Alligator mississippiensis: one gene and its partners. The protein of the gene in region 3 purifies or fractionates together with the protein of the main gene of each other region. This does not show direct contact. Links are inferred from orthologs where the notes say so. Each region holds a gene or a part of one and is shown on either strand. Other genes may lie near its edges. The genes, in order: RFWD3, RFC1, RPA3 and SMARCAL1.

Evidence for each region.
Region 1: the proteins of RPA3 (region 3) and RFWD3 purify together in Homo sapiens (affinity purification with mass spectrometry; 5 studies listed by BioGRID and IntAct, with this or other methods). This does not show direct contact. The link is inferred for Alligator mississippiensis from reciprocal best matches to the Homo sapiens genes RPA3 and RFWD3.
Region 2: the proteins of RPA3 (region 3) and RFC1 purify together in Homo sapiens (affinity purification with mass spectrometry; 3 studies listed by BioGRID and IntAct, with this or other methods). This does not show direct contact. The link is inferred for Alligator mississippiensis from reciprocal best matches to the Homo sapiens genes RPA3 and RFC1.
Region 4: the proteins of RPA3 (region 3) and SMARCAL1 purify together in Homo sapiens (affinity purification with mass spectrometry; 3 studies listed by BioGRID and IntAct, with this or other methods). This does not show direct contact. The link is inferred for Alligator mississippiensis from reciprocal best matches to the Homo sapiens genes RPA3 and SMARCAL1.

Annotation. Positions count from the first base shown.
Region 1 is NC_081833.1:40,708,351-40,716,184, reverse strand, and holds the start of RFWD3 (E3 ubiquitin-protein ligase RFWD3), read left to right. Parts: upstream 1-4,819; 5' UTR 4,820-4,913; coding exon 4,914-4,959; intron 4,960-7,834. UniProt on the Homo sapiens protein: E3 ubiquitin-protein ligase required for the repair of DNA interstrand cross-links (ICL) in response to DNA damage. Plays a key role in RPA-mediated DNA damage signaling and repair.
Region 2 is NC_081825.1:50,653,441-50,660,972, reverse strand, and holds the start of RFC1 (replication factor C subunit 1), read left to right. Parts: upstream 1-4,521; 5' UTR 4,522-4,625; coding exon 4,626-4,628; intron 4,629-7,532. UniProt on the Homo sapiens protein: Subunit of the replication factor C (RFC) complex which acts during elongation of primed DNA templates by DNA polymerases delta and epsilon, and is necessary for ATP-dependent loading of proliferating cell nuclear antigen (PCNA) onto primed DNA.
Region 3 is NC_081828.1:170,932,417-170,940,384, forward strand, and holds the start of RPA3 (replication protein A 14 kDa subunit), read left to right. Parts: upstream 1-4,956; 5' UTR 4,957-5,044; coding exon 5,045-5,143; intron 5,144-5,337; coding exon 5,338-5,412; intron 5,413-7,210; coding exon 7,211-7,319; intron 7,320-7,968. UniProt on the Homo sapiens protein: As part of the heterotrimeric replication protein A complex (RPA/RP-A), binds and stabilizes single-stranded DNA intermediates that form during DNA replication or upon DNA stress.
Region 4 is NC_081827.1:252,486,196-252,494,168, forward strand, and holds the start of SMARCAL1 (SWI/SNF-related matrix-associated actin-dependent regulator of chromatin subfamily A-like protein 1), read left to right. Parts: upstream 1-4,960; 5' UTR 4,961-5,045; intron 5,046-5,319; 5' UTR 5,320-5,363; coding exon 5,364-6,156; intron 6,157-7,040; coding exon 7,041-7,091; intron 7,092-7,973. UniProt on the Homo sapiens protein: ATP-dependent annealing helicase that binds selectively to fork DNA relative to ssDNA or dsDNA and catalyzes the rewinding of the stably unwound DNA. Rewinds single-stranded DNA bubbles that are stably bound by replication protein A (RPA).

The DNA of each region.
Region 1 (7,834 bases), on a different chromosome or scaffold from region 3:
TTACCAACTCAGTGCTGGTAACACTGGCTTCAGCAGGGATGCTGGTGTTTGTACAGCAATCTTTCCATTTGATGTGGAGGATTTTCCAGAGGCATTGTTGATGGTACCTCTCTAGGTTCTTGAGATGATGATGGTAGGCCACCCATGTTTCACATCTGTAATAGGAGGGGAGGGGTAATGGCTGCATTGTGGACCTGGATCTTGGTGTCTTTCTTGAGATTGCAATTATTAAAGACAAAAAAATGCAATTTCCCAAAGGAGACACTTGCACTCCAGATCTTGAACTGGATCTCCTCATCAGTGTTCACTCTCTGAGAGAGGGGGTTACTGAGATAGGGGAAGTGCTTGACTATTTCCAGGGTCTTTCCCTCAGTGATAATTTCATGGCCTACTGCAGGCTGATAGACTACTTTAGTCTTCTTGATGTTGAGAGACTCAAAATTCAGTAGGCTTCTCCACAGATCCAGCGTGGTCTGGAGGTTGTTCTCAGTGTGCACAAGGATGGTGCAGTCCTCAGCATATTGAAGGTCAGTATGGTTGTTTTGAGGACTCTGGTCTTTTGAGTGAAAACATTCCAGATCTATGCAAAGAACCACTTTGAAGAGTGGTCTCATTACCCTAGGGGTGATTCATTTTCAGTTCGGGTGCTAACAAAAAGTTAAAATATTTGTATGCTGAGAAAGCTGAACCAATGCCAAATGTAACAGTCCTGGTTTTTCTCCAGGTTTACCTTAAACCTTACTTACCCCTTTGTGGTCAAGAATGTTAATGTTAGTGCATTTTCATGAAGGTGAATACTTCAGAAAAAGAGCTTTTAAGAAGACGTATACCTCAAACTTAAGAGCATGCCACACAAAATTAAAACCCTGAAATTAAACAAGTGCTACAGCAAACAAAGATTTCTTACTCTTCAGATTGTTGTTATCCGATGATACGTTTGTAGTTAGATTCATATCAGACTAGAATTCTACTGATGGCCAAACTTCTGACTTCAATTTCCAGATCAAAGATGGCATTGTCCATTTCAAGGATGGCACCTATGTCCCACATGGTCAGTCATGACTCCAAAATATTTGAACTCTGTTATGACCCATCCCTTTTTTGTCACTTTAAAACATTTAAGTAGGTGCCCCAACATTTCTGGTGGCCAAGGATATTCTTTAATAAGGACACAATGTGAAATGGCATTTCCCCTCATGCCATTAACAACCACATTTCAACCTGGGATATTCACTTCCATCTATTTCATTTGTTGACCTCCCCAGCTCTGAAGACAACAGCTGTTCTAGTCATTGTTCAACTAATTAATGTTATATTTCATCCTAGAGTCCCTACCTAAGGAAAAGGCACAAACCTGTTTGAATGTTTTCTTTCAGACCTCATGATTTACAATCTAGCATTGCTACCAAGAGGCAAGTAAAGCAGTTTTAGCATCAACTTATGAAACTTCTGAACACTGAACAGAAATAACATATTGACTCTTCCATAAGAGCTTATAGTAATTGGCTGATGTGATTGCAGAATTGCTGGCCATTATATTTGAAAACTCTTGGAGCTTGGGGAGGTCCCAGATGATTGGAAAATGGCAAATATAGTGCCCATCTTTAAAAAAGTGATGGAGGAGGATCCAGGGAACTACAGACCAGTCAGCCTTACCTCAGTCCCTGGAAAAATCATGGCACAGGTCCTTAAGGAATCCATTTCTAGGCACTTGGAGGAGAAGAAAGTGATTAGGAATAGTCAGCATGAATTGACCAAGGACAAGTCATTCCTGACTGTCCTGATTATGTTCTATAATGATAACCAGCTCTGTGGATGTTTGGAAAGCAGTAGGCATGATATACCTTGACTTCAGCAAAGCTTTTGATATAGTCTCCCACAGCATTCTTGCAAGCAAGCTAAGGAAGTATGGGTTGCATGAATGAACTGTGAGGTGGATAGAAAGCTGGCTAGATAGGTGGGCTCAACAGTATCAATAGCTCAATGTCTAGATGGCAGCTGGTATAAAGTAGAGTGGCCCAGGGGTCCTGGGGCTGATTTTTATTCAATATATTCATTAACAATTTGGAAGATGGGATGGAGTGCTTCCTCAGCAAGTTTGTGGATGACACCAAGATGGTGGGAATAGTAAATATGCTGGAGAATAGGGCTAGGATTCAGGGTGACATCAACAAATTGGACTGGATCAAAAGAAATCTCATGAGGTTCAACAAGGACAAATGCGAAGTCCTACACTTAAGATGCTAGGATCCTATACACTGCTACATGCTTGGGACCAACTGGCTAAGAGGCAGCTCTGAAGAAAAGGACCTGGGAGTTACAGTGGACGATAAGCTGGATATGAGTCAACAGTGTGCCCTTGTTGCCAGGAAGGCTGTCTCAGACGGCCAGAGCCAAGTTGAGGTGATCTACAAATTGCTTGGCCGTTGGGTGGGCTGGTGAATGGAGAGGCAGACAAAACGTATTGGTTGCAAAAAGGCTTTACTTATGCCGCTAGTAGCCGCGACGCAGGTGGTCCGATCGCTTAAATAATTACACGAGTTGCTCCAGCTGGCAAAAACCCAGGCCAGCGAATCTGTAAACGAACCAGGCATGCAGGAAAAGGGGTACGTCGAGGGATAGCATTCGGCGATGGGGAGAAAAATCGATAGTTGATCAGGCTATCGATTCGCTCTGCCACGTCAGGAATTCTTTTAAGTCACTCTGCAGCATGCTCAAAGTTCTCCGACTTGGGCGGAAGTCGCACAGAATTTTATACGGCTAACAAGCCAATCGCTAGCCGCCACATAGGAATAATTTAGAATCAGCCAATGATAGGACACAAATTTGCATACAAATGGCGGGAACTCTCTTGCACCAGAGTTTTCTATTGCAACAGAAAACTTTTGCTGTGCACAGAGACTCTCATGTGGCGAGAAAAATTCCATTGTGCCGAGGCACTTAAAATCATTGGGTTATGACAAAGGCTAACAGCATAGTGGGCTGCATTAATAGGAATATTGCCAGCAGATTGAGGAAATTATTCCACTCTATTTTGCACTGGTGAGGCCACATCTGGAGTATTATGTCCAGCTTTGAGTCCTCCCCTACAGAAAGGACGTGGACAAATTGGAGAGAGTCCAGTGGAGGGCAATGAAAATGGGTAGGGGGTTGGAGCACATGGCTTATGAGGGAACTGGGCTTAGTCTGCAGAAAAAAAGAGTGAGCAGGGATCTGATACCTGAAGGGTGGTTCCAAAGAGGATGGAGCTAAACTGTTCTTAGTGATGGTAGATGACAGAACAAGAGCAATCGTTTCAAGTTGCAGGAACGGAAGTTTAGCTCAGTTATTAGGAAAAACTGTCTCACTAGCGGGGTGGTGAAGCACTGGAATGGGTTACCTAGTGAGGCTGGTGGAATCTCCATCCTTGGAGGTTTTTAAGGGCCAGCTTGACAAAGCCCTGGCTGGGATGATGTAGTTGGGGATGGTCCTGCTTTGAGCAGGGGGTTGGACGAGATGACCTCTTGAGGTCCCTTCCAACCTTAATTTTCTATGATTCTAATCATGCAGACCAGCAGCATCAATCAGAAGGCACCAAGTTTTGCTTTTGGCAACAGGGTATGGCTGAAGACAGAAACTCATCTGCATTTAACCTTCAAGCAAGTTGTGCCAACAATAAATTAGCTTATTCAAAGTCCTTCAGCAAATCATCCCAATCACTTTCAAACTATAGGAAGCTAAGTACATGAAAATGAATCCAGCAACTCCCTCTCCTTCCTCTGTTTGGTCATTGCAGCATTGGAGGTCATCAGATGCTAGCTGTAAAAAGGGGTTTGCAAGTAGCCCATTAGTCTCCTTCCTTTGCTGCTGCCTTGTTTGGCTTAGCAGAACAAAGGCTGAGAGGGGATGTGATTGTTCTCTATATACAAACTCATCCAGGGAGTAAGCACCAGGAAAGAGTCAGAAGATATAGCCCACGTGCCAGATCTGACCCATGGTGGCCTATCATCTGAATCATATTGCTGCCCGGGGGTCTCAGATTGGACCAGGGTTGCAGACTCAGACTGGTTTGTGCTGTATCATATCTGCTGCATGGGCCAGATCCTGCACATATGGAGCTAGGTCCAGCACTTGCACTACATGTGACGCGTGCTGCCTGTAGTGCTTGCACTGGAGCAGCCCCGTGCTCTGGATCCAAAGTGCAGAGCTGGTCTGTGGGCCGGCTCTGGTCCCCCGATCAGCCCCGCTACTCATCCGACCGTCTCTGTGCGACTTACCCAGCCTGTGGGGCTAGATGCGTTTGATATCCCTGCTCTAAAAGAAACGTAAACCAGAACACATCCTTATAAACTCATCGGAAATATATTTGGCCTGGAATTCGGAAGTTCTCGTAGCAGCGTGAAGAGCGATGTTGTCGCCGTGACAGTCCCCAGAACACGTGAGGCGAGGACTCCTGAGGGAGACATTTCTTACTAGACCAACTCCGTAGCTGGTACAATAACAGGGCACACCTCAGAGATCCTCGTCTCCTCGCAGGCAAGTGCAAGAGCTCCCCCCGCCCCGCCCGGCATTTGAATGCAAGCTTTCTCGCGCCTTTTACCTCGTCAGACGGCTCCTCCAATGAAAATGCCCTTCCGGGCGCTGTGTCCTGCCTCCGATTTTGCTGATCGACAGGCAACTCGCCAATCATAATTGAGCGCTGGGGCATCATTTCTGCCCCGTGCCGCCGCGTCGCCTGTCTGGCCAATAAAAGTAGAGTGTGTGAACCTCCCCTCCTCCTTCCTCTCGGCCCCTGGCGAACGGGCCGCGTCCGCATCCAATAAGAATGCTCATTGCGACGGCGGGCTGTCCAATAGGAGAAGGGGTTGCGTTGATGGAGGGCTCAGCCCCTCAATGAGGTGGCGGGGCGGGATGTGAGGCCGCGGCGGGAGGCGATGGCGGCTGCGGCGGGACGGTTGGAGCTGGCGGCCGCGGCGCGAGGTGAGCGCGGGCTCGGCCCGCACAGACGCGCTGCTCCGTCCCGGCCGCCCCCTGCGGTACTGCGAGGGGCGCGGGATCCTGCGGGCAGCGCCCGGCCGAGCCGCCGGAGCCCGGCCCGCGCACGGTGTCTGTCTGGTCTCCGGGGCCGGTTCGCCGCTTTCTTGCGCTGCCTCATATTGACGCGTGCTGAGATGAGGTGGATGCGGGCCAGGCTGGCTCCCCCTTCCCACCGCTGTCCTTTGCCCTGAGGCAGTGCTGCGGGTCGGCTCTGCCTGCTGCAGCCCCAGGCAAGGAGCACGTAATGGCTTCTGTCTCTCTCACCAGGATGTAGCAGGGGTGGCAGCTCCAGCCGTAGCTGACGGCCAGGGCTGCCAGCGCTGTGCCGGGAGCCAGCATGTGCTCTGTGCCCTGGGCCAGAGTCAAACCCAGAGCCGCAGCTCGAGGCATGGGGTGAGGGGCAGACTGCTTGACTCCTCCAGCACTTGCCCTCATGATGCTGCATTGCTCATTGTAGTGGTGGGGGAGACAAATTTAACATGACCCTCCAATAATGAAGTTTTTCCACATATGGGAGGCATGGGCAACGGCAGGATGCTGCTACCTGCTCAGAAATGCAGGCTGTGCAAGGCTCCGAGCGGGGGTGGGGGCTGGGCCCCAGCTGCACTGGAGCAGGCAGCAGCAGCACTGGGAGGGGCAGCTATGGGATGGGCTACAGCCATTTCATTTCTCTGTAGCCCCTCTGCCCAGCACCACTACCATCCACTGCAAGTGCTGGGCTCTTCCCACCTCCTGAGGAAGAGCCCAGAACAGCCTCCAGCCCCAGGCGCATAGCGGCAGCCCACCTTCACCCCGCACGCAGATCTGGGGGGGCACCTGCCCATGCCCCCTGGATGAGCCATGGCTCTGTCCCATATCCTGCCTCACCCCGACCCTCTCCCTCACCAAGAGGACCCCAGTTGCCTGTCCCCCCCCAACAGACTTACTGGCTGAACAGTACTGTCAGGCTGCACTCCTGGCTGTGTGCATTAGGGCTCTGAAGCTTCAGTTGCCGATTTGATTTGGAGGAGATTCAGCCCGATTCGGCAACCAAATCTCTGAATCCAAATCGAATCAGGAGGCCTATTAAAAGGTCTGAATCAAATCCAAATCCTCTGAATTGATCATTGATCCTGATCGACCAGGGAGAGGCAGGCACAGCTGGGCGGCTGCAGGTTCTCCTGTAGCTCCTTTGGCTGTGCCTGCCTCTCCCTGGGCGGGGGGAGCCATGGGAGAAGCCCCCATGGCTGTCCTCCTCGGCCCCATCCCCTGCACTCACTGGCTGCAGGAGCAGCGATTGGGGCCTCTGAGGACTTGTGGCAGAGCCCCCCTGCGCAACAGGGGGCAGCAGGGATTGCCTCCCCACACACCTGGCACCTGTGGGGAAACTCCCCAATGGTGTGTGTGCAGTGCCGTGTGCTATCTGGGAGCTGGGGCCGCTGGGGCTGAGCGCTGCCAGGCTCCGGCTGACTGCTGGAGCTACCCCAGCTCCCAGACAGTGCGCACAGGGAGCCACGCTGCTCCCGTGCAATGCGACAGCTGCCACGCAGGTGCCAGGTGTGGGGAGTGATCCCTACGCTATACAGGGGGCTCTGCCACAAGCCTTTAGAGGCCCTGGTCACAGCTGCTACAGCCAGTGAGTGTGGGGTGCTTTTTTTTTTTAAGTGCTGGGAGGCTCGGCCAGGCGAGGGATGTGGCTGGGCAGGGCAGCTATGGGGGCTTCTCCCATGGCTCCCCCCGCCCAGGGGGAGGCAGGCACAGCTAGAAGAGCTGTGAGAGGGCTTGTAGCCACCCAGCTCTGCTTGCCTCTCCCCAGCTGATCCGAATCTCCAATTCTGATTTGACCAAATTGAATGGGGACAGTGATATGAATCACCGAATTGAATCAGTGTCCTCCGAATTAGCCAAATCCGAATCGAATACTTCCTTATTCGCGCAGACCTTGTGTGCGTGCTGCAGCTGTGCACACACGCGTAACATTTATCAGTGACATTATCAGCCACATCAGCCAAAAAAGGCTGATTGCGTTTAATGTCAATTTTCCTTTTTTCGATGTCGATACCATATAGACTGATATATCAATGTACCTCTAATGTCTATTCATAGATTCATAGATGCTAGGGTTGGAAGGGACCTCAATAGATCATCGAGTCTGACCCCCTGCATAGGCAGGAAAGAGTGCTGGGTTCAGATGACCCCAGATAGATGCTTATCTAACCTCCTCTTGAAGACCCCCAGGGTAGGAGAGAGTACCACCTCCCTTGGGAGCCCATTCCAGACCTTGGCCACTCTAACTGTGAAGAAGTTCTTCCTAATGTCTAGTCTAAATCTGCTCTCTGCTAGCTTGTGGCCATTATTTCTTGTAACCCCCGGGGGTGCCTTGGTGAATAAAACCTCACCAATTCCCTTCTGTGCCCCCATGATGAACTTATAGGCAGCCACAAGGTCGCCTCTCAACCTTCTCTTTCGGAGGCTGAAGAGGTCCAGGTGCCTCAGTCTCTCCTCATAGGGCTTGGCCCGCAAGCCCTTAACCGTACGAGTGGCCCTTCTCTGGTCCTCCTTCCTCCCCTTCTTGAAAATGGGGACCACGTTGGCCCTTTTCCAGTCCTCCGGGACCTGGCCTGTGCGCCACGACTGCTCAAATATTACCGCCAGTGGTTGCGCAGTGACGTCAGCCAGTGCCTTCAGTACCCTCGGATGGAGCTCATCCGGGCCTGCTGACTTAAAGGCATCCAGTTCCTCCAAGTGACCCTGCACCATCTCAGGGTCTATCTTATTCACAAATATTCATTTGTATTTTTCACCATAGTATCTGAGAACGTTATGATACTTTTGAGAT
Region 2 (7,532 bases), on a different chromosome or scaffold from region 3:
CACAGACTCTGTATGTAGACTATGTATATATATATATATATATATATTTATATATATATATAATCATAAGCTTTTTCTGAGCTCAAGACAGTTTGTGCTATATATATTATACTAGCCAATTGCCCATCAAGAATGACAGGGCGGGGGGAGCGGCTGGGGATGGAGCCCTGTGCTCCCCCTGTCCAGGTTCGCTCCCCCCTTCCCTCCTGCTGCTTGGGGTCCAGGCCCATTCCCCCACTCCCTGCTGCACCGGCGGGGGGAGGAGAGGAATGGGCCCGGGCCCAATGTGGGCGAGGACCGGGCCTGAGGGTGGGGAGAAGCCGGGCCACTGCAGTGGGGGGGTGGGGAGCAGTGGGCCTGGGCTGACCCAGTGGTGGCAGGGGGATGGGAGGAGTGGGCTTGGAGCTGACGTGGGGAAGGGGGAGTGGGGGAGGAGTGGGCCCGGGCCTGACACGGGGGAGGAGGCTGCTGTGTTGGGTCGCGTTGGGCTAGGCCCGCTTCCCCCACGGCAGCAGTCATGGGGGAAGGGGAGGAGTGGGCCCGGACCTGATGCGTGGGAGAAACCGGGCCGTCACATTGGGGGAGCAGCGGACCTGGGCTGACTCGGTGGTGGAGACAGGGGGGACGGAAGAAATGGGCTTGGAACTGATGTGGGGGAGAGGGGATGGGGGAAGAGTGGGACTGGGCCTGAGGGGGGGAGGCCCACTGCTCCCCTCCCCCCACTGCTGCCACATCAGGCTGGGTCTGCTGCTCTACCCACCACCACTGTGGCAGGCTGGCTTCTCCCTCCTGCCTCGGGCCTGGTCCCATTCCTCTCCCAGCCTCCCCTCTCCCCCGTGTTGGCCCCAAGCTCGATCTGCCTGCCCCCCCCCCCACTGCTGGGTCAGCCCAGGCCTGCTGCTCCTCTCGCTGTGGTGGCCCAACTTCTCCTTACCCTTGGGCCCAGTCCTCCCCCACATGAGGCCTGGACCCATCCCTCCCCCCTCCATCGCCACCGTGGCGGTGTGCCCACTATTCCCCCCACCACCATTGCATCATCCTGCGTCAGGCCCTGCAGATGGTGGTGACAATGGAAGGGGGGAGGGGCGTGCAGAGGCCAGTGCTGATGGCTTTGCCCCCACCGCGGCATCCTGATCTCACTCCCCCCACAATGCTGCCACTGCCGTCACTTGCAAGGAGTAAGGGGGGGCAAGGCCAGCTCTGTTGGCCTCGCTGCCCCCCTCTGCTCCATCCTTGCCACCTGCAGGGAGCAAGATGGGGGGGGCGAGGGCAGCACTGCTGGCCTCGCCCCCCCTGTTCTGTCCGCCATGTTGCTACCGCCTCCAGGGAACAGGGAGCTGTGCTGGCCTCACCCCCGCTCCACCCCTGTGTCCCCACCATCGTAGCAGTGCTCCACCGCTGCCACCTCCTGTTCAAAGGCTTGTTCACACTCTGATTGGCTGTTTGTCAGCCAATCAGAGTGTGAATAAAGCGTTATGGACAGACAGAAACAGACTTAGGCTTGTATAATATTTGAATATATCTATATATATATTTAGTTTAATCTATAAGGTACAAATCTATATATATACACACATACACACATACATATATAGTTAGATTAGACAGATAGATAGTATCTATAGACTATAGTATCTATAGACTATATATCTATCTCGGGGCAGGCAAAATACAGACTGTGGTCTGAATCCAGCCTGCCAAGACATTCTGTCTGGCCTGTGGGTCCCCTAAAAAATTTAGAGAATATTTATCTGCCCCAGCAGCCTGTCAAAGCTGACGAGTCAAGGGCAGTAGGACCCAGGGGGAGTTTCAGCAGGACGGAACAGCCCAGCCCCACCCACCCCCAGCCATTTCACTCCCTTCCTGCCCCCACCTTGCTCCAGCACCATGTGGCTGCTGGCTACATCACCGGACAGGGGAGCACGGGGCTGCGCTGGTATTTGCATTGCATATGTGCATGCAGGCAGGGACGGTGTGTGTGTTGGGGGGGGAGGGGGGGGGCAGGCAAGGACAGTGTGTGTGTGGACAGGTAGGAGCAGTTGTTAGGCAAATAGCATAAATACCAGCTTGATGTTAGGTAAATAACATGAAAATAGACTTTTGCGTATTGCTTTTAATCTTATGTATTTTCTTAAGTTTTGCATTGCCTTAAGAAACTCCATTTTGTATTGCTCTGTAGCTTGACATAAGTGCTTGACCTTTTACTCTTTAGTATGTTGTATGGGTGAGCGTGTATTTGTGGAAAAGGAAAACATCAGCTGGTGACTGGTTTAAGAATGCAGACAGATAAAAGACCAAACAAGAATCCACCCCAGAACAGCAAGAGAACAACGGCAATTGACATTGACAATGCATAGGGGTTCACGTGGGTGCACGTGCACCCACTGAGATCGGCTGTGCACCCCCTGGAAGTGCCAGCCACGAAACTGGAAGTGCCGGTAGAAATGAACTTCTGGTTTCACTGCTGGCTTGGCAGTCAGTCATTGGGGGACCCCCTGCATTGGCAATCTGGTACCCCCCAGACTCAGGAGGCACCAGTCGCCCATGGCAATCAGCCTTCAAGAAAGAACACAATGATAACCCAGCAAAAGCCCAGAGAACTGGGTGAATTGACAAGGCTATAAAAGATGGGGTGATATACTATGCACCTTATATCATATATATATATATATATATATATATATCAGCCAAGTTGATCGTGAGTAGGAGCTGGGCCAGTTTACTTCCTGCCAGTCCATCCCATCAGACAAAATGATGCTCCAGGATGACAAGCAGAACAAGACCCCAAATCAATATGTTGATATATTATAATATATGATATAATATATATACATATAATATATAATATAATATATACATATAATATATACACATTATATATAATATATAATATATACATATTATATATATTATAATAATATATATATATGTATATATATTATATCATATATTATAATATATCAACATATTGATTTGGGGTCTTGTTCTGCTTGTCATCCTGGAGCATCATTTTGTCTGATGGGATGGACTGGCAGGAAGTGGACTGGCCCAGCTCCCACTCATGATCAACTTGGCTGGCCACCAAATTGATTCAAGCACCAATAAGACTGGTAACGTATACCAGCGCAGAATAGAAATTGGGGTATGAATGTGGTGTGTGTGTATTAGGTGCTTAATCTGTAAATGCGGCATCTTGCCTTATCTTCCCTCATAAGGTCTCGCTCGTGATTTGAGCAATTGGCAATTTGTGTAACACAATGTGTATGTATGCAGGCAGGGACAGTGTGTGTGTTCATAGACTAAGTCCCATACACACACCCAACCATACATATGCAACCACGCCCTCTTGCACTGCCATATACACAGACCTCCCACATGCCCCAGGCACCCAGCCCCCCACAAACCCCATACCCCCCCCCGCCACATATCCACAAACACACCCCCTCACTCCACACCTGCCCACAAACCTATACCCACCCCCCACAATATACAAGAGTAAGACTTCATTTTATGCTATTGTCCAATCACCTCTATATACACTACACAAACACATGTAAATCAGGAGAAAAATATTTTTTGAAACCAAATTAATGAATGCTTTTTAGAATATGATTTGGTATTTTTCTGGTTCCAAGATGGCAAAACCTCTGCTGAAAGGATAACTTCCCTGGGCAAGGGGAGGGACTTATGGTGGCAAAGGTCGGGGGTTAGGAGGAGGGACTTCTGGTCACAAGAAGGCAACCAGGGGCCGGGCATCTGTCAAGGCGCGGGACTACTAGTATGGTCTGGACAGCTTGTCAAAACTGAAATAACTGCACCCCGCATCTAGCTCTCTCTAAACTACATTAGTTTATAAGGTGCAAGTCTACCCTACCGTCTCTAGTTCTGCAAGAAATGCCAGGGGACTAAGAGGCAAGGAAGAGCAGGAGCCCCCCAAAGGACTGCATTTGGAGCATGACCTGCTTGGGTTGTTATAACCGTTTTGGATTCTGCAGGTTCTGTGACAGCCTGAGCAGGTTTCCCCCCTCTAGAAACGTGGGGAGCAGGGCATGGAAGTACGATTTTTTTTAAAGGCTTTAATCAGCGGACATTTGAAAGGTTTCTTCCCCATTTTTCCTGAATGGACCCTTGCATCTGCCCCAGTAGGTGCGTTAGTGTCCGAGAGACGCTGTAGCCGCGAGGGAGCCCACAGACATGATGCGAGCAGGCACTGCCGAGGGTGACATCTTTTACAGGCCCAGCAGTGCCAACGGACAGGGCTAGCCCGCCTTTCTGAGCTTTCCTCCCCCGACCCCGGGCAAAGCAGGGCCGGGGCGCGCCAGGCCCCCGGGCCGAATCCAGCAGCCGGAACGTGCCCGAGCAGACGCTGCCGCTGAGCCCAGTCACGCAACAACCCGGCAAAGCGGGTGGGGCCTAGCAAAGCTTTAGCTGCCAACTCCGGCCGAGCCCGGGCCCCGCCCCCGCGTTTTGCGTTCCGAACGCTCCTGACCGCCGCCCGCCCCGCTCCGCCCCGCCCCGCCCCGCGTGCCTGTGACATCATCTGGGCGCGCCAGCGGCCGGAGTTGGCGCGAAGGGGGATGGAGATTGGCGCCGTCCCACTAACGGGATAAACCGTCGCCCGCAGCATGGTGAGCGGCGCCTGGCCCGGCCCGGCCCGGCCCGGCCTGCTGGGTGGGGGTGGGAGCGGGAGCCCGGCGGGGCTTCGGGCTGGTGCCCCCGGGTTGGAGCTGCCCTGAGGAGCCCGCGGGGCGGCCCGGCCTGACGCGCGGGTCTCGCTCCCCACCGCGCCCCGGGGCTCCCCACATCTGAGTCGCGCCGGCAACAACCGGATGCCCCCGGCGGGACCCGCTGTCACGTGCGGGCAGGTCCTGCCTTCCCTCTGGTTGCTGCCTGTGAAAACTCGCACCTTTCTGAGATGCTCTGAGATGCCCCCAGCCCTGTGCTCTGCTCCCTACCCAGCCACTGTGCCACACCGTGCACTGAGCCCCGTGTGTGCTCTGTGTCAGTGGTGTCAGCGCAGGCACCCCTGTCCCTCCGCTACTCCTGGGGCCATGCGCTTGAAACCACTGTCTCAGAGAAACGGGGGGGCTGGTGGCTCCTAAGTCCCTTGGAAGCTTCTGCGAAGGTAACTCTGATATTGCAGCCTGCCTGGTGTGGTAGGAGCTTGGCCCTGAGATCTGACACCAGGCTGATGCCTGAGAGAGACTCTTCCTCCCACTAAAAGGTCTTAATGTTTAAGGATGTAAGCAGGACTCTGCTGGGTCTGGCCAAAAGTTCTGCAGCCTGGTATCTTGTCTGAGAGTGGCAAGAGCTTGGGGTGTTTAGCCTTGGCATCTGGCCTGCAGGGTTTCCCGTGGGTTGAGAAATTTGGCAGTGGGGGAGCAAGGCCCCTAGCCACTTCCCCTGTGACTGGATTGGGACTAGGTCACCCCTTGCTGCTGGATTGGGGCTGGGCTGCTCCCCTCCTTGCTCTGCATGGCAAGATTAGGCCCTGTCAAGGCCCCTGTGCACCAGATTGGACCCACCAGCAGGATCTGGCTTATGGCGGGACCAGGCACCACTTATCCGGCCCTTGGGGCAAAAACGTTGAAACACCACTGTTTTGGAGGAACAGTCTACTCCTGTTTATGCCAGGAGCTCTATGCAGGTGTAAATCAACAGATACAATCAGCTTTAAACCAAGATGAGAGCTTCCTTGTAGGGATAAAATTTTGTTTGAAGTTTGTTTAATTTCAGTTGGTGCGACTTCCATGACAATTGGGCCTTTAGTGTCAATGTTCGTACAGTCTTGCACCAAAATGGCCAAAGCCTAAATTAAAAATAATGTAGTTATTTTGGTTTAAGCCTGTTTGAATACATTTGTTACCTTCTCATTACAGTCCTCATGCTTGATTTGATGAGCTGGACTTTCCTATCACATACAGCTGTGGAATGCAAATAATTAATTGACAAATGGAGGATTTGGGAATACACTTAGCTTTACAGTACACCAATCTACCAGAATAAGCATTCTGGCTATGGCTCAGGAATTGTGTGTGCTGGGTGAATATATTCAGTTCATTTTTTTTTTTTTTTTTTTTTTTTTTTTTTTTTAAGATAGCATTGGTAAGAGCAGAGGTATATGTGTGGGAAGTGCTGTGTGGAGTAGTATCACAATATAAATATTCACACAATTTGAGAGTTTGAAAAGTTGTATTTGTATTATGTTCCAATGGCTTTAGCTTAGGAAACTTTTTAAGATTATTTTGTAAGGAGGAAAGGAGACTGACCAGGACCAGCATGGTCAGGGTGTCCAGCCAGCTGGATAGGATGGGACCGCAGGCCAGTGGGGAGTGGGATGAGTGAGTAGGGCTGGTGCTGGGATGTTATGGCACTGATGGGCGCAGGGCTTGAGCTCAGGGAGGAGCTGTGATCTATTCCCTACATGTCCCTGACCATGGAATAGGGCCTGTTGCAAGAAGTGGATCATAGCTCTGCCCTGGGCCCCATGCTGCCCTGTGATCCCTGTCCTTTCCACCTGTCCTACTCCTGGACACCACTTCCTGCCTGTCTGCAGTTCCTTCTCATCCTGGCTGCATGCCCTGCCTGTGTAGGTCCTATCCCCAGCTGTGGGTGTGCACAGGCAGCAGGGCTGGGTCTAGCAGCAGTGGGAGCTGGGAAGAGCTGCTCCTGCTGGGGCTGCCAGGAAGTGAGTCCAGCCACTGTGGTGCCTCAGCCCTGCTGCATGCCTGGGGGTGGTGGGACTGGCCTCAGTACTATAGCTTGGGCTATCCCCCATGCCTAGGCTGGGTGGGGCTGGACAAAATCCCTTGGTGGGAGGGGTCTGGTCCACAGGCTGTATTTTGCCTACCCCTGGACTAGATGATTTCTTGAGGTCCCTTCTAGCCTTACTTCTAGAGGTACAATGGTCCCATATTGTATCGGCATTAATAAAAGAAAATTTGGTCCCATACTGTATTGGCATTCATCTGCTTTTTTTTTGGCTGCTCTCCAAGTTGCCAGGCTGCATATTGGCAATCAGGTTGGTATCAGCAGATATGGCTCGTTAAAAATTGGCTGTCGGTATTGGCCTAAAAAATCTCTATCAGTGCACCCCTGCTTCTCTATGAGTTATATGAGAGTGCTTCTCAGCAGATGTAGACTGAAATGGATGCATCATTTAATTATCCATTCTATTTCACAATTGGTAGTACTGAAGAAGAGCAGCATGCATAAAAAGCAGGGCATGTCCTGCTCTAACAAGCAAGTCAAGAAGAAAGGCACAAAATATATGTTTTTCATGATGGACAACTCTAAATTATGGAAAGAGAATCATGCTATGAAGGGGTTGTTTGTGGGACATTTCAGTCGCTGGTGGTCAACAGCTAGGCAAAAGAACTGTGAAGTACAGATTGCATCAATGAAGATGAGACTCTGATCAGGATCTGCATTAATGCAAGTCATCCATAGTCAATTTTGCTTCTTGTGCTAGGGGTTTTCTTTGGGATGTCCAAATTGGTGTCTAATTGGGGCATATCTACAGGGTGGGCAAA
Region 3 (7,968 bases):
AATTCCTACTACTTCAGACAGATCGTAGACAGAAAATAAAAATACATTTGATTAATTTAAAATTATCCCGCCTCTATCAAGACAAGTGATCAACATCCATAAGTCAACATATTACTATGAGTAATAAAGCAAGACATTAACTCTGGCAAGTCTAGGAGAGCAAAATTATGCCGTTACACTAGTTGCACTTAAAGTTGGTATCAACTAAGCAAATTGTGTTGGTCTAACTAAAATACATATAAATTTTTCTTTTTAACAAATAAAGTTTTGTTTCTTTTTAATAAAGGAATATATATAATGTTAATTCAAGTGAGCCTACATGTACTGCAGGTTCTAAAACGTCCTAGGATAAACTATAGCTATACAATATAGCTAGATGTCAGGGGAAAAGACAGGTACATACATACCGAGGATGCTATTGTCCAAGCTCTTACAGACTTCCCATATCTTATAATAAAAATGAAAAGAAGGTAATCTTTATGTTCTGGGACAGTGAAAGTATATGCCATCAAAAAAATAAAAAGGAGAGAAAATCTAGTAACAGTGAAAGAACAGTCATGATGACATAAATACATTTATTAATAATACATAATTATTTTCTACCTTTTGGGACTTTTTACCATCTTTCATTTTCCCTGAGCGTGAGGAAAGGTATGTGAGCCCAAAAGCTTGCAGAAAAAGATTTTTTTGTGTGACCTTGTATTAAACTAACTAAGAGGTATCATCCAAGAGTATGAACCAAGAGTTCTAGAGTTGTGCACATCTATATAATACAAAGACATTTCTGTTAGGGTTGTATGAAGCTTTGGTTGCCGATTCGGTTCGGAGAAGATTTGGTCCGATTCGGAGATTGAATCACCAAATCCGAATTGAATCAGGAGACCAAAAAATGCCTCTGAATCAATCTGGAAGATTTGGAGATTCAGAAGGCAGTCTTTCAGGGGAACAGAAACTGAGACGAGGGAGGGGAAGTAGGGGGGGAAAGACTGACATCTGTAGCTGGCTAGTGACTGTGATCTTTCCCCGAGTCCCTGTTCAATCACAGTGCTCTGGGGGAGGGACGTAGAAATAGCATAAGCCTCTGTCTGCAGACTTTCTGTCCCTTTTGTGAGCTGTTTCTGCCTGAGCAAAAGAGGGGTGGGTGGCTGGCCCAGAAACAGGTAGGCGGGCGGAGATCTAACCAGCACCGGGAAGGCCCCCTGTTACAGTCTATCATCCCTGCTGTTTTCATCCAAATCTGCCTTAACACATACAAGTGACATGAGTTTTGCTTTCAACAGTTTGAGGTGCAGTTTCCCAGAAACCCGTGCACCTATTTCCTTGAAACTTGGCAGGCTTCATGCCCTCACAAGGGGCTACCATCTCTGCTGTTTTCATCTAAATTTGCCAAAAAAATGACAAAGTTATAGGTATTTCAGTGATTCCCCATTATAGTCTATTGCCAAATCACCGAATCTCTTCCAATCAGCGCTGAATCTTTCCAAGCCGATTTGGCCAAATCGATTCAGGACAGTGATCCAAATCTCCAAAACAAATCACTGTCCTTCAAATTGGTCAAATATGAATCAAATATTTCCCTATTTGCACAGGCCTAACTTCTGCATGCAGCATGGAATTTAATGCAGGAGGAGATAACAACAGATAGTTGAATTGATCTTAAGGAGGGAATGGGATAATTTTGTAACAGGTGTAAATATACAACCTACATTAAGATAAATCAATTGTTCAAAACAGTAGTTCTCAATCTTTCCCATACTAGCACCCCTCTGGGATTCCTATTCAACAAGGAAACACGGAACATGCAAGTTGTTTACAACCCTTAAGTTGCAAACTGTGCCTTGGGGCATAAACTAAACATAAAGTAAATGTTCTCCTTCCAAATCAGACAGCCCTGTACAACTGTTTAACTATATTACAGTGTTTATCACTGTGAGGCACACAGTACTGCCTACTACCTGAACAAAACAGAGCACACTCAGACCACAGGCTTTATTTATTAGTCCTACCACAAGAAGTTTGCATTCCTGAGAAACACCATAAAATAGACTTTAGCTCTTAGAAATCTGTTAGACAAGACACTTGTGCAAAATGAAGACAAAGCAGTAGGTAAGGAAGAGGAGATTAAAAAAGAAGATCCCCAGAAAGTTTAAACATAGCTATTTATGTAGTATTTTACAGAGGCAACACGAGAAATTGTTACATCCAGGTGGAGGGGGGGAAGGTGTCTGTGCATATTCACATGTAAAAAATAAGATTCCAGAGGTAATTTTTTAAAACTAGCAATGAGGTAGAACATGCAGCCCCAGAATGGTTAGCATGAGGCCCCTGGGCTCCCATCCAGCCATCTCCAATCCCCTCCCAGCCATCTCACTTCACCTTCTCCAATTTCTCTTGCCACAGCAACATGTAAGGGACTGGAGTGCCCAAGCTGTAAATGCAGGAAAGGAGCCAGGCTGCCCACACTGAAGGTGGATTCTGTGTACCTCCAGGAGAGTGAGAAACAGGTATTGAACCAGTGGTGACATGTAGGAGGGGCACGTGCTCCCCCTGAGCGTGCTGATGCACCCCCTGACAGGCTGTGCTCCCCGCTTAGGCTATGGGGGGGGGGGGGAGGTGGGAGTGCCAATGTTCCCCCCCCCCGAGAGTGCTGGCTGGAGCGCTGCGGCTGCTTTCTGGTCGGCGACATTGGCTGTGGGACAGATCCCCCCAGTCGCTGACTGGTCACTGGCGGGGGGCACATGCCTCCCCTCCCCCCCCAAGGTGGTACCAGTTGCCAACACATTGAACACATGGTGGGGTGAAGGGAAGCCAGGCTGCATGTGCAGTAGAGTTGGGAGGGGGGGAGGGAGGGAGTACTGATTTCACAGCACACTCGACTGGGAGGCTGGCTACCCAGTTCTCTCCCTACTCCCAACTGTGCATGTTGTGTGCAACTCTTCATCCCTGGCCAAGATGGGGGAGCCAAGCTGTGCTGCAAAGGGGTGCCTGCATGGAATGCACTGCAGGTAGGGGGTGTTGCCTGCACTGTGCGGGAGGGGGAGAGATGGGACGGGGACGAGACGGGACTGGTACTTAGCAGCCCAAGTGGTGTGCAGCCCCCAGCTGCCAGACATGGAACAGTCCTGAGGTAGAACAATGGAGGAATAGACTTCAATAACAGTAAAGTCAGAAGCTTGTATGATAGTGGTGTGCGAACAGACAGTAAAAATTCCATCTTGTGTTTTTTTTATGAAAGGAAGAGAGGGAACTCTTTCAAGCATCAAGCCCCAATCTGGAGCAAGAAGAATGCATTTCAACTAAACACACTGCCCTCAAGGGCTGGAATTCAGTCTCTCTCCTACCAATAGCTCTGTTTACAACTGTTTGGTCTCCACTAGTTTCATGCTCTAGGGCTGCACTTTCATAAAGAACTGTTCTGATGCATTTTTTCCAACTGCTCTATCTTGACATATGATGGATTAAAATGACTAAATACGCAACAGCTTGGTGCCTTCCCCTCCTCTCCAACTGGCTGGTATTCCCATTATGTTTACCTTATCCTCCCATCATTAAGATTGCAGCTCACATTCAAAGATTTAAAGTGGAATGAAGCCTTGGAACACAAAGACAAACACCGTCCCTGTATTGAGTGGGAGCATAAGAATGGATGTGAGAAAGGGAGAGGATAAAGGGACCATAATTAAGGTGTGGGCTAACTCTGAAACAGGGATAAGCAACCTCCAGCACAGGTGCCAGAGTGCAGCACTCTAAGGCATTTTGCTTGGCACCCGTACCTCTGGGTGGATGACAGGGAAGCAGCTGGGGCTACACAGCAACAGCAAGGATTGGGCCCCATTGTGGCTCCCCCACCATCTGCCCCTGGCATGCCAACATCTTACAAGTTGAAGTTGAGGGTGTTTTGGGCACTCTGCCCAAAAACGTTGCCGACCCATGCTCTAAGACAAGAAGCAGCAATGCAGAGGAAAAGTGGCTTTATAATTAGGCACTGAACTAAACACTCTGGAAGATCCGTGTTCAATCTCGAGCTCTGCCTCAGGTTGATGCTGGTAAGTCAGTCTAAAACACCAGTGGCTAATTAATTCTCTGCTTCACAAGGGCCATACGACTGTGAAGATAAAATTATTTAATGCATAAAAGGTGCCTGGCTGTCAGAGGGAGAGAGGGGCAAGTATTCTGGACAGACAAACAAGGGCCAGTGCTTCATGCGTCTTGCATGCAGCGTCCTCATTATTACCGGATGTGGGAGCAGAGCCAATGTTATCTGCAGTAAATCGGACAGGTTACAACACAGCGGCTCTTAATCTTTTTTAGACTCAAGGCCTGCTCTCAGCCTTCAGGCAACCCCTGAAGTTGCCAGCTCTTCCTTTTCACTCGGTTTCTAGCTACAGCAAAATTACAGAGGGGTGGGTCCCTCTGGAGCAAAGCGCCCAGAGGGCGGGTGGGGGGCAGGGTGCTCGGCCGGCACGAAGGAGATCCGAGGGGCCCACTGGCAAGCAGGGCAGAAGGAGCTGATGGAATGATGACGAAAGTCACTACGCCGAGCGAAGCAAAGACGTCGTCACGAGGACACATCTGACGAAGCAAATCCCGCGCCTAAGAAAGCCGAGGCAGTGCCAAGGCCCGGCCCGGGGACGAGGCAGGTGGCAGGGCGGGAGCGGGCCGGGCCAGACTGAGGCGGGGCAATAACGGGCCCGGGTTCCCGCCGCGCCCCGCAGCAACGGACACGGGACGCGAGACGCGGGGGGGGGGAGGGCGGACACTTGGGCCGGGCGGAGCCACGCGCGCGCGCGCTGCCACTTACCACCTCCCGCCGCCGCCTTCGCTTCCGGGCCGGGCCGGCGCGTCGCCGTGACGTAGAACCCCCGCGCGCCACCCAGGAGCCGCCGGTTACGTCATCGCGCCCTCGGGTTGGGTTTTCTTTTTTTCTTTTTGCCCCTGAGCAGCCTGATTGGTGGTCGGCGCGGCGGCCCCGCCCCTCCCCTGCGTGCGTCCGCGTTGCCGAGGTAACCAGGAGGCAGCGGCGGGGCGCGGGAAGCCGCTCAACATGGAGGACGTGCACGAGGGCCCGCGGCCGCGCATCACCACCAGCCAGCTCGCGCAGCACGTGGGACAGCCCGTCTGCTTCGTGGGCCGCGTGCAAAAGGTACCGGCGCTGGCCGGGGCCTTTCGGGGGTCGCGCATGCTCCGCTCTTTAGGCCGAGGCCTCGCCCCTCCCCCTCCCCACTGGAGCCAGGCTGGGGGGTTGCGCCGGCTGCACACGGGGAAGACTTGGTGTAGGAAGGAGTGACGTCGCTCCTTCGCACTCCATTTTGACGTCACTTTCTCCGCCTTCCTCAGATTCACCCGAGCGGGAAAATGTTTGTCCTCTCGGACGGCGAAGGCAAGAGCGCCACCGTGGAGCTCAGCGAGCCTGTAAGTAGCTGCAAGCGACTGACCCTGCAGTGGGACTGGCTACGAGACCTGCTGGGGTTACCTGCACCAGGGCTTGCTCCTTGGTGCCTCGCAGGGGCTGGGCAGCAGCTCTGCAGAAAAGGACCTGGGGGTTTCAGTGGACAGGAAGCAGAATATGAGCCAGCAGTGTGCCCTTGCTGCCGAGAAGGCGAATGGCATACTGGGCTGCATTGGTAGGTGTTTTGCCAGTAGGTCAAGGCAAGTGATTCTTCCCCTCTGTTCACCACTGGTGGGGTCACATCTGGAGTACTGTGTTCAGTTTTGGGCCCCCCACTATAGAAAGGATTTGGACAAATTGGGGAAGAGTCCAGTGGAGGGCAATGACAATGGTGAGGGGGCTGGGGCACATGATTTCTGAGGAGAGGCTGAGGGAACTGGGCTTATTTAGTGTAGAGAAGACCAAGGGAGGCTTAGTAGCAGCCTTCAACTTCCTGAGGTGGGGTTACAAAGAGGATGCGGCTAGACTTCTCAGTGGTGGCAGATGACAGAACAAGGAGCAACGGTCTCTGGTTGCATCAAGGGAAGTTTAGGTTAGATATTAGGAAAAACCTCCTCTCTAGGAGAGTAGTAAAGCACTGGAACTGGTTACCCAGAGAGGCTGTTGAATCTCCAAATTAGAGGTTTTAAGACCTGGCTAGACAAAGCTTTGGCTGGGATGATCTAGTTAGGGATGGTCCTGCTTTGAGTAGGGGGTTGGACTAGGTGACCTCCTGAGGTCCTGTCCAACCAGTTTTCCATGATGCTGTTTGCTGATCTGCCTGCTGGAAGCAGGATAAATTTTGACTGGAAAAAAAGCTTAATCCTTTCAGCAAGGAGGTGCTTTAACCCTTCATTGGTATGATCTTTCCCTTTTCTTTCCTGTGCTTGTTTTACTTAAGGCATTTAAAATATATTTCCTTACTGGCATCTTTTCTGCAGCATCTGTACCAAACTGTCTGAATTCTTACCAGATCCCTGCTTAGAACACTTTTCATACTTCCAGTAACTGTCCTAGCCAGTTAGACGAAAAAGTTCTCTAAAATAAAATACATAATTGCATTTAAACACTTAAGACTTGCATCTTTCTCCTGGTGAATACTAGGTGCTGCAGTTGAATTTCCAACTCCTCTTCCCTTCATCAGCTGTCCATTTGGGCACTAACAAGTTCTGTCTCTCTTTCATGTTTTCTGTGATGTTTCATTTAATGGAGGGATTTTTCTGATTGGCATATTTTATACATTCCTCTATTTGTACTCCTGCAAAAACCTATTAGTGAAAATCCTTGACTAAAAGACTTGTCATAGCCTGTGCACTCAATTGCAGTTTCTACCCTTACAAGTATAGGAACAACCCTCATAATACACCTCTAGGATACACAGTATTTTTCTGCCTCTGTACCAGCTTACAGAGAGCATTAACCAAACTTTAACAGGGTTTGGACAACCCATCCAGGCTTCTGGTCACCGCTGCTCTTTGTGCCCTTTGCTTGGGTAAGGGGTTAAATGCTGTAATGTGATGCTTCTTTTAAGATGCATCATCTTTTGTTTATTTTTAGGAAGCTAAAGCCAGTTAGAAAACTACTCATCTCATAAAATTGAGTTTGATTTTTAGACTTATTTTTCAGCAGTATTTTATTTTCATGAAGTGGAGCAAACAAGCAGTTGCAATAAACCAAGCATTCCATTTTCTCAAGTTGCAAACTGATACTGGGTATGTAAGTAGCTGAGTACAAAAGAATAAGACAACTGTGGCAGTAACATGTTTTCTGTATGTTCACCAGTTAGATGAAGAAATCTCTGGAGTCCTTGAAGTGGTGGGAAGAGTAACAAATCAGGCAACTATCATGTGTATGTCATATGTCCAGTTCAGAGAAGATAAAAGCCCTTTTGGTAAGTAAAGATATGTCTTAAGATTGAATGTTGTTTTGCATTCTAAAAGTTATTTTTAAAGAAGAGCAGAGGAAAGATCTGCTTTATCCTTTTTCCTGGCAGGGGCATATACATAGAGTAGCTGTTTCCAGAAATCTGTCTCCTGTAGAGTTGTTCTTGAGTTGGTGATCATAATGCAACTATATGCAATATCCTCATGGGAAATGCACCAAAATGAACAGCAAGGATTGATTTACAGCTAGTCAAAATGAATCTAAAACTGTTTAAAAAGGAAAATCCTGAAGTCCTAGAACAAGTATGGGGCTATCATGTAACCTTTAATTATGCATAATTCCTTTAGTCCTGAACAGGAAAAGGAAACAGACAAACTGTATATAGTATTATTAGAGAGAGAGCTGCAAGATTGTATTCAGTCAAATATATTCTTACACAGGTTACTGTACCACTCCCATTACTGGTACCCGAAAAGTGCACTATTCTGCATATAGAAAGATCTGTTTCTCCATTCCCTAGTTCAGTGGATTTGGTTATTGTCCTTTTGTCTGGCTTACTCACAATGGACAGCAAGTAGTTTAGCTCTTGAATTTTAAGAGACTTAGATACTCCTGACTTGAGTGCAAATCACCACAGCTCCTGTAAAGGGAAGTCT
Region 4 (7,973 bases), on a different chromosome or scaffold from region 3:
AAAGCCCCTACTAGCTCATGAAGCAGAAGGCAAGGCAGCGGGGCACCTTAGAGACTAACTCATTCAGGGAGACATGAGCTTTCACAGGCAACCTACATCACCAGATGCATTGCACTGTTGACTCGTATTTGGCTTGTGCCACGACCCCCAGCTCCTTTTCTGTGACCTGTCCAGCCCTTGTTTATTATATGATGCATGCTACAGCGTCCACCTGGGACGCAAGCATCTCGGAGTAAAGGAAAAACCCTTTCATGTGGATGTCAAGAGCTGGTACCCCTATGCCGACGTAGAGATCCAATAACACATAGGAATGGCATTGCCAAACACCCATTGAACTCCCTTCTCCCCATGCACCCTGCATTCAGCTTTTGAAAACCTGAAGCAGCAGTAAATCTTTCTAACTGTTAGGGGTTCATTTTGCTAAAGCATTATCCATCTTAGCATCATGTCTGATTTCTGAATGAGATTGACTCAGTCAGTAGGAGCAGGCCTATAACTTATACTGCTTCTCATTTCCTGAAGCGCTGGAATTGTGCTTCTCCCTAATGTTATTTTATTAAGATGTGATTTGTCATCATATTGCTGAAAACAAGATAAAATGCAGGGTAATTAAATTTCTTATTTAACTCGATGAGCATCTGCTTTCTGTAGTCATATTTTTTAAGCAGCACCTTTGTAGTAGTTACTCAGTCTCTGGTCATAATAATATTTGTTATGATCAAAACAGGCAAATAAAGTACCAGAAATAAGTAACCACGTTATGGCATCTAGTACCATATAATTTATAATAATACATGTATTCAACAGCTTCTACCCCAAGTTTCCAACAAGGCTTTACAATGCCCTGATCTTTCAAACAGCTACGACAATGCATGATACCTGCTGCTACAAGCAGTCCTTTTGACATCAATGAGATGGACCGGTAGCAGTAGGAAGCACATGTGACAGCAGGATCTGGCCCGTCCTTCACAGATATACAAACTCAGGTTCCCTTTGCTGACATCTTAATGAGCAGACTTCGATTTCTAGTGAACGGGGTTTGGCTCTGACTGAGCGCATCACTTTATTCAAGGGACAAGCTTAAACATAGGCTTAACCCCCAAGATGTGCTAATAACTTACTGAAGTCCTTGGGATACTAGAACATGTTCAAAATTGAACTCATGCTTAAGCGCTTTGCTTGAGAGGTGGATAAGTGCTGAGCCATAGGACTGTGTTATTGGTTCACTGCTGACCACAGGGATGACAGCCACGTACCGGGTCCTCCTTTATTATTAGTGAAGCATCGACTGCTTGCTTACTGCTGTACAAAGTGCAGCAGAGGTGGGCACGTTTCATGGATGAAGTATATCAGTCACTAGCTTTAGTTCTGGAAGAGCCTTTGTAGCAGGCTTCACCTACTGCCAGTCGGCGAAGCCCCACGAATAGTTCATCTTCTGGAGCAGACCCTTGGGCCCTAACACTGTTTGGATCACACACAGTATTACTGACTGCCATGTTCTTCTCAGGGCTCCTTACTTCTCCCTTTCTCTGTGACACTCCCCATATCAGCTCTCCCCTAACAGTCACAAAACTGTCTCCTTCTCAGTTTCCTATCCTGACTATTGATTCACCCCACTCTGCTTGACCTATAACTGCCCTGCATGCTCAGCATGTCTGGAGAGTGCTTTGAGATCCTCCGATGAGAAACATTACTGCGGTGCAATGCAGAAGCACTATTAATATTGCATTGATGGTTAATTATTTAGTGTAGGTGACCTTTGAGGCTGCCGCCTAAAGGACTTCTCTGGATAGCTGGGTGATGGGCCCTGATTATCTGGGTCTTTCCCACCCCAAGAAGACTAAACTGCAACAGGCCGGGGCTATGGCCAGAATTTAATCAATAGGAGCCTCAAGTTGGGCTCAAAAGGTCAAGACTTCAGCAATAGATAAGTTGTTTGAGCTTGAAAATGAGGCCCCTAATATAAAATAGATTTGGGAACCCAACTTTTAAATTTTTTTTCCAAGATATTGGTCTATCCTTTCACCAGTGGTGCAACACATAACAGCTAAGAGACTGGTTTTACAGCACCAGTGCAACAAAAGCATAGCAGCACAAAGATCACTGTGGCTGCATGGGCTGCAGTTCTCAGCTGAAAGTGCAAGTAGGAACCTTGTTGAGGCAGGTGGAAGCTGGAAAAGACAGGCTATAATCTTTTTGAGGGGTTATACTGTAAGCAGAAGCAGGAAGATTTCTGTGCGCTAGAAAGATCCAGGATACTACAGTATCTTCAAAAAGGAGGGGGCAGCCCATTTTCTTTTCATTGGGTGGTGCAATGTCGGGAAGAACTGTCCACCAAGACAGCTGTCAATGTGGAGGAAGAGAGAGAGAGAGAGAGAGAGATCAACAGCCCTGTGCATATAAAGTACTCACAGCAAGCTGCAGGAAACGCTGCACGGCTCTCCCAGTTCAGGGTATTGGGATTCGTCAAATCTATTGTGCGTTCAGTGCTCAGCATCTGGTGGTACAAGAGAGATGGAGACAACGGGGAAGAATTTGGAGAAGACCAACAAGAACAGGTGTAGCCAGAGGGAAGTGAGTTAGGGGAGACAGATCTGAGCTGCTATGTTCAGCTTCAGATGAAAATCCCCAACTTTCTCAACAATTCGGGCTACTGGGGTTTGACACCCTGGTTCCACCCCTTCAGGAAATGGGCCCGAAACGCGGATCCAAGCATGACTCTGAAGGCTGTGGGATGAGGAGTGTAGGCTGCTGACCCACTTAAAAGTCCAAGAAACCCTAATGTCACCCTGAGAGCCTGGAGCAAACCCTTTCCATCAGGACTCAGCTTATTATCTGAGCACAGAACAAAGCTATTCCCTCAACCAAAGCAGGGTCCCAAGAGGCCTTTCCTTTTCCAGCTCTTCCCCTAGTCCCAAGGGCTAATAAAGCTCTCCTCCTCCCTTTCCCCGAGTGATTCACTGTAAATCACTTGATCAGTCTCTGCTGGGAGATAGCTGGTCTGGGGACATGAGGTTGGGTCCAGCTCTCCTTAAAGGTTCAGGTAAAGCTTCAGCTCAACGGTTGCAGTCTGGGCCTATATTTATCTGTGAAAAAAGAGACAAAGTACAAATCTGAGTAACAGGATTAAATATTAACCAGTTAACTAGTCTATGCTGCAGTCAAGGGCAGACATACCTAGGATGGCCCTAAACTAGCTCGCTCAGGGGCCGATAACAGTAGATGGAGCTCGGGGCGGGGGGCGTAAAATGAGTACCCATCAGTCATACTCTCACTCCTCGAGGTAGAAAGTTTAAAGATACAAAATTATGCAAGGATCACCTAGTCCAACTTGTAGGTCCACCTGAGTGACCTACAGTCAGAAGAGTGACTGCCTCATTGGCATGCTCTAGGAGGAAACATGAGGATTGTCTCCAAGTATCTCAAAGGTGCAAAAGAGGGGAGTCTTCAAGGTTGTTTCAGGGCAAGGGACAAAATGAGTAAAGGAAGGTTTAGGCAGGACATCACAGAGACTATCCAAGATCAGTTAATGATGTAACGTAGGAAGCTGTGGCAAGACTTCTTTAGGTCTCATCATCATGGCTGAGCTGACGCATGGGAATCAAAGATCAGTTAGATTGCAGAGCAGCCCTAAAATCACAAGTCCCTCCGATTTCAGAGAAAGGAGAATCCCCTTTAGCCACTAATAGCACAGGACCTCTGATACACAGCTCACCGCTTCTGATTTCACCTGGCAGAGGGCAGCCGTGACACACAACCGCCAGATCACTGCATGAAAGCAGGAGTGTAAGGACATTAGCTGCGTGTTAGCTGGCACACCTGCATGTGTACACAGTGGTGCATGTGTGTGAACTCGCCTGTGTCTCTCTGTGCATATCAGCATGTGTGCAGAAAGGTGGGGTGTACAATGCTGCCTGTTTGTGTCTGTGCATTTTGTGTGTGTTTTTATCCAATGAATGTGCGCGCATGCATAGAACGTGTGTGTGTGTGTGTGTGTGTGTGTGCATGTGCTATCCAGGTTGTAGCTGGATTGGTCTAAAGGAAAGGGCAATCGGGGCTTTTGGTAGCGGTGTGATATCTTACAAGATTTTTGCAAAAAAAAGTCTTTAATTGCAAGCTTTCAGGCACAAAAATCCTTCGACAGGCATCGGAGAGAAGATTGTAAAAGTGCTTCTGGGCAGAAATGTGTGTGCATGCACGTGTGTGTGTATGCATGCGCGTGCATGTGTATATATGGGTGCGCGTGCATGTGCATATGTGCATGTATATGCGTGTGCTTATGCACGTGTGTATGCACGTGCGTGTGTATATGTGTGCTTACACATGTGCACGCATGAGTGTGTGTGCGTGTGTATATGTGTGCGTGCATGTGTGCATACATGTATTGTGTGTGTGTGCACGTGTGTGCATGTATATGTGTGCGCGTGTGCACACCCTCTCTGCTAGAGGGACAAGTCGCAGCTTACCCGTTGCGTTATCCGTCTTCGGCCTGCCCCCGCTATTCTCTGCCTCGCGGCAATCTCAGCATTTTAATCAGGAAGTAATTTGGGGACGACCTTCTTCATTCGGAGGAGCAGAGAGAGGGTCGAAGAAGCACTAGCTCACGGTGCTGTCAGCGGTCCCTAATCCCGCGGTGCTGAGAGGCTGGGGAACGATGGGCCTCCACTTACCCTCCCTGCATTATACCCAATGTGGCTTCCACCGCCCGGCGGGCCCCACCACATCTCCCCCTCCTTGGCACCCTCTTATTCCCAGTGCAACCAGCTTTGCTCTGTGTGTGTGTGTGTGGGTGGGAGGGGGGGGTGCATCCCATAATAATACTGCTGGTGGGGGGGGTCACTGGGGCAGGGCAGGCCCATGAGCAGAACACAGCACCACAACAAAAAAAACTACAGCTCCCAGCATGCGGCGGGCCTCCCGGCATGCCGCGCGCGCGCCGGCTCCTCCCCGGAGGCGCTGTCGGCGCGGTGCCTCCTGGGAGTTGTAGTCCGCGCGGCTGCGCGCCATCAGCGGCGGGGGCTGAGCCCCACTGGGCCTCCATCAAGGTGGGGGAGGGGGGCGTCATTTTTTTAGGAGAGGGGTCAAAGGTGGTGACCCCTGAATGGGGGGGAGGGGGGCGTATTGTTCCCTTTGGCCGAGGGGGCGTGCCCCTGGTTTTGAGGCCTCAGTTTCCATCTCCTGGGGCCGTGAGGGCCTGACTTGTGCGCGGGGGGGAGGGGAGGGATGCACAGAGCAGGAAATAAAAGCCTTCGGAGGGGCATGGATAAAAATTGCCTATTTTTACTTTTCCTTTATTTTTTTGTTTTAATTTATTTTTAGTTTTTAAAGGCGGCCGCATCCCGAATTCCCCTCAGGCGTGGAAGATGTCCTCCGGCCTCACGGAAGAGCAGAAACGACGGATCGAGGAGAACAGGCAGAAGGCGCTGGCCCGGAGAGCGGAGCGGCGAGCGGCACCGGGGGAGGTCGGCCGTCCAGCCTCCCAGCGCCTGGATCCAGCAAGCCTGCAGCAAGATGGCCGGCGTGTCGGGTCGTGTCACCAGCCCCCCGGCGGCCAGAGCCAGCAGAAGGACGGCGTTGAGAAAGGGCCGAGTCCCGTCGACACACATGCGCATCCGCCGGCGGCTGGTTTGTGCGGAGCGCAACCGAATAATTACCCGCAGGGCTCGAACCGAGCAGGCGGCACAAGGCCGTTCCCGCCAGCGGATGCCTGGAGCCATCCCCTGCCGCCGCCGCGCTCGGGAGCGCAGCATCAGCAAGCGCCGCAGCAGCCGAAGTACTATTTGGCGAGCAAAAACCCCGCAGAAGCCTCGTGCCCTCGATTCGCGGATATGCACTGTCGGACCGAATACACGCCGCTGCCAAGCGACTCGATGCTGACAGATGCCAGCAGACCCCCGTGCGGACCCTGCCCCGAGACGTGTGGTGGCAGCAGCGTGTCTCATTTCTACAGCACGGTGCAGCCCTTTGCCCCGTTGAAAGAGGCTAAGGTGCAGAAAAGGGACAGCTGCGGTGGTGGGAGCTCTGCCGTTCACAGCAAAGCACGCTGTGCTCTCAAAGGGAGGTGCGTGAGACACGGCGGAGACCGCTTCCAGGTTGAAGTGGGTTACAGCGCGGAGCTCATTGCCGTGTTTAAGACCGTACCTAGCAGAAGTTACGGTAAGAGTTCTCACGCCCCGTGTTAAGGTTGGGTTTATGTCTGCGTCGTTATGTCGGATCTTGGTCTTTTGAGTAACAATGCCTATATTTCCTGTTTATACGGGAAATGCAGCCTTTGGCCTGATGGAGCATGGCGATAATTTCATAGATTTCATAGACATTAGGGCTGGAAGGGACCTCGGAAGATGATCGAGTCCGGCCCCCTGCCCAAAGAGCAGGAAGTCAGCTGGGGTCATAGGATCCCAGCAAGATAAGCATCCAGTTTGCTCTTGAATAATGTTACATATCGTTTTGATTGCGGATGTGAAAAATAAGGCAGACAAAGCTGCAGAAGAATGCAAGGAGTAATTTGCTTACGTGGCTCTTTTCCTAAATCATCCGAGTTGAAACCCCTAGCTTTTTGGAAAGGACCCTGAGATTTTAGTGACTCCAGGCGGTCCCATCTTTTCAGGAGGGCTGTTGGGGATGCAGTAATGGTTAGTCAGTTTTAGTTGCTTTGGAGCAGGCTGATAGCCGTGGCTCTCACCAGTACCAGCCCAACAATACAGTCTCCAGCTGTCCTGTGCACTAAAAGGAGAATCTAGATGTCCTTATGTGTGGTTTCTCCCCCATCTTAATTTGCAAAATCCTCTGTCCTTGTCGCACTCTGCTCCTTTCTGGGATTTACGTCCTCATTTTTATGGATGTATAGGTTTTGTTGCCCCGGTGCTTAGTCCTTCTGGAGTTGTATTTCTAGTTGTCCCACGTTTTTATGATCTAGGAACGGTAGTCTTGTGTGAAGAGTCTGCAAGGATAGATCGGATTGCCTTTTGCCTGGTATTTTAATATTTAACATGCAGTCATTTTTCCCATCCACAAATGACTCAAAATTGGTCCTTTTTCAGATCCGGCGACGAAGATGTGGAATTTTAGCCTGGAAGACTACTGCCATCTCAGTAAGTCAGAGAACTGTTGAGTGATAAGCAGGATCAAAGACTTTGTCTCCTGCTTATACGATTATTGTTTGCTGTATTATTTCTTGGAGCAATAGAGAGGCAAAGCTGTTCAAACAGGAGACCTGTTTTTCAGGCATCAGGCTTATGAGATTCTGCTGTGAATCGCGGTAGTTGGTCAGAATTAACTGAGGTTTGAGGTGTTATCTAAATGCCAAACAGAATTTTTTTTCTCAATCGCTAACTGAATATTTCAGAAGCTAACAAACTACACTCTAGGCAAAAATGGCTCAGTTCATAAAAGTACAATCTGCAAGGCCATGTGGAGAAACTGAAAATGTTCCAGAAGTGCAGCTGGCTAATACTGTATTGAGAAATTGAATCCGATGCTATTTCTTGAACTGTAAAAAAAAAAAAAAAAAAAAAAAAAAAATGTTGGTTTCTTGATATATTTTTTTTGTTCATTTTCCTATTATTTGGGTGGGTGGAAAGTGAATTATTGTGATCCCCCTGGGCTTTCTGTTAAGCTGCCAGTGCGGTTGGTTGCCTTGGTATGTGGAATATCAGGCATAAGGGTTTTTTTCATTCTGGACCAGGGGAGATAAGGAACAGTTACAAAGATGACATATTTCAAGTGGGCTGTTCAATGCAAGCAGCACCGACTTCAAGAAAAGCAGTGTGAACAGTTAGGCCAATGCTGGGCGTTTTACAAACTCCACCCCTTAGGCCTGATTTCAGCTTCCCACTGTCTCGCCAGGTATTTATTACATGCTGCCTCTTTCTTCCCTGAAGGTATTTAAGAAACAGAAGAGTCCCTGCTCCAAAGAGTTTACAGTCTAAGTAGGCAACTTGTAGCTGCCATGTCAATGTTTTTAAAATATCCTC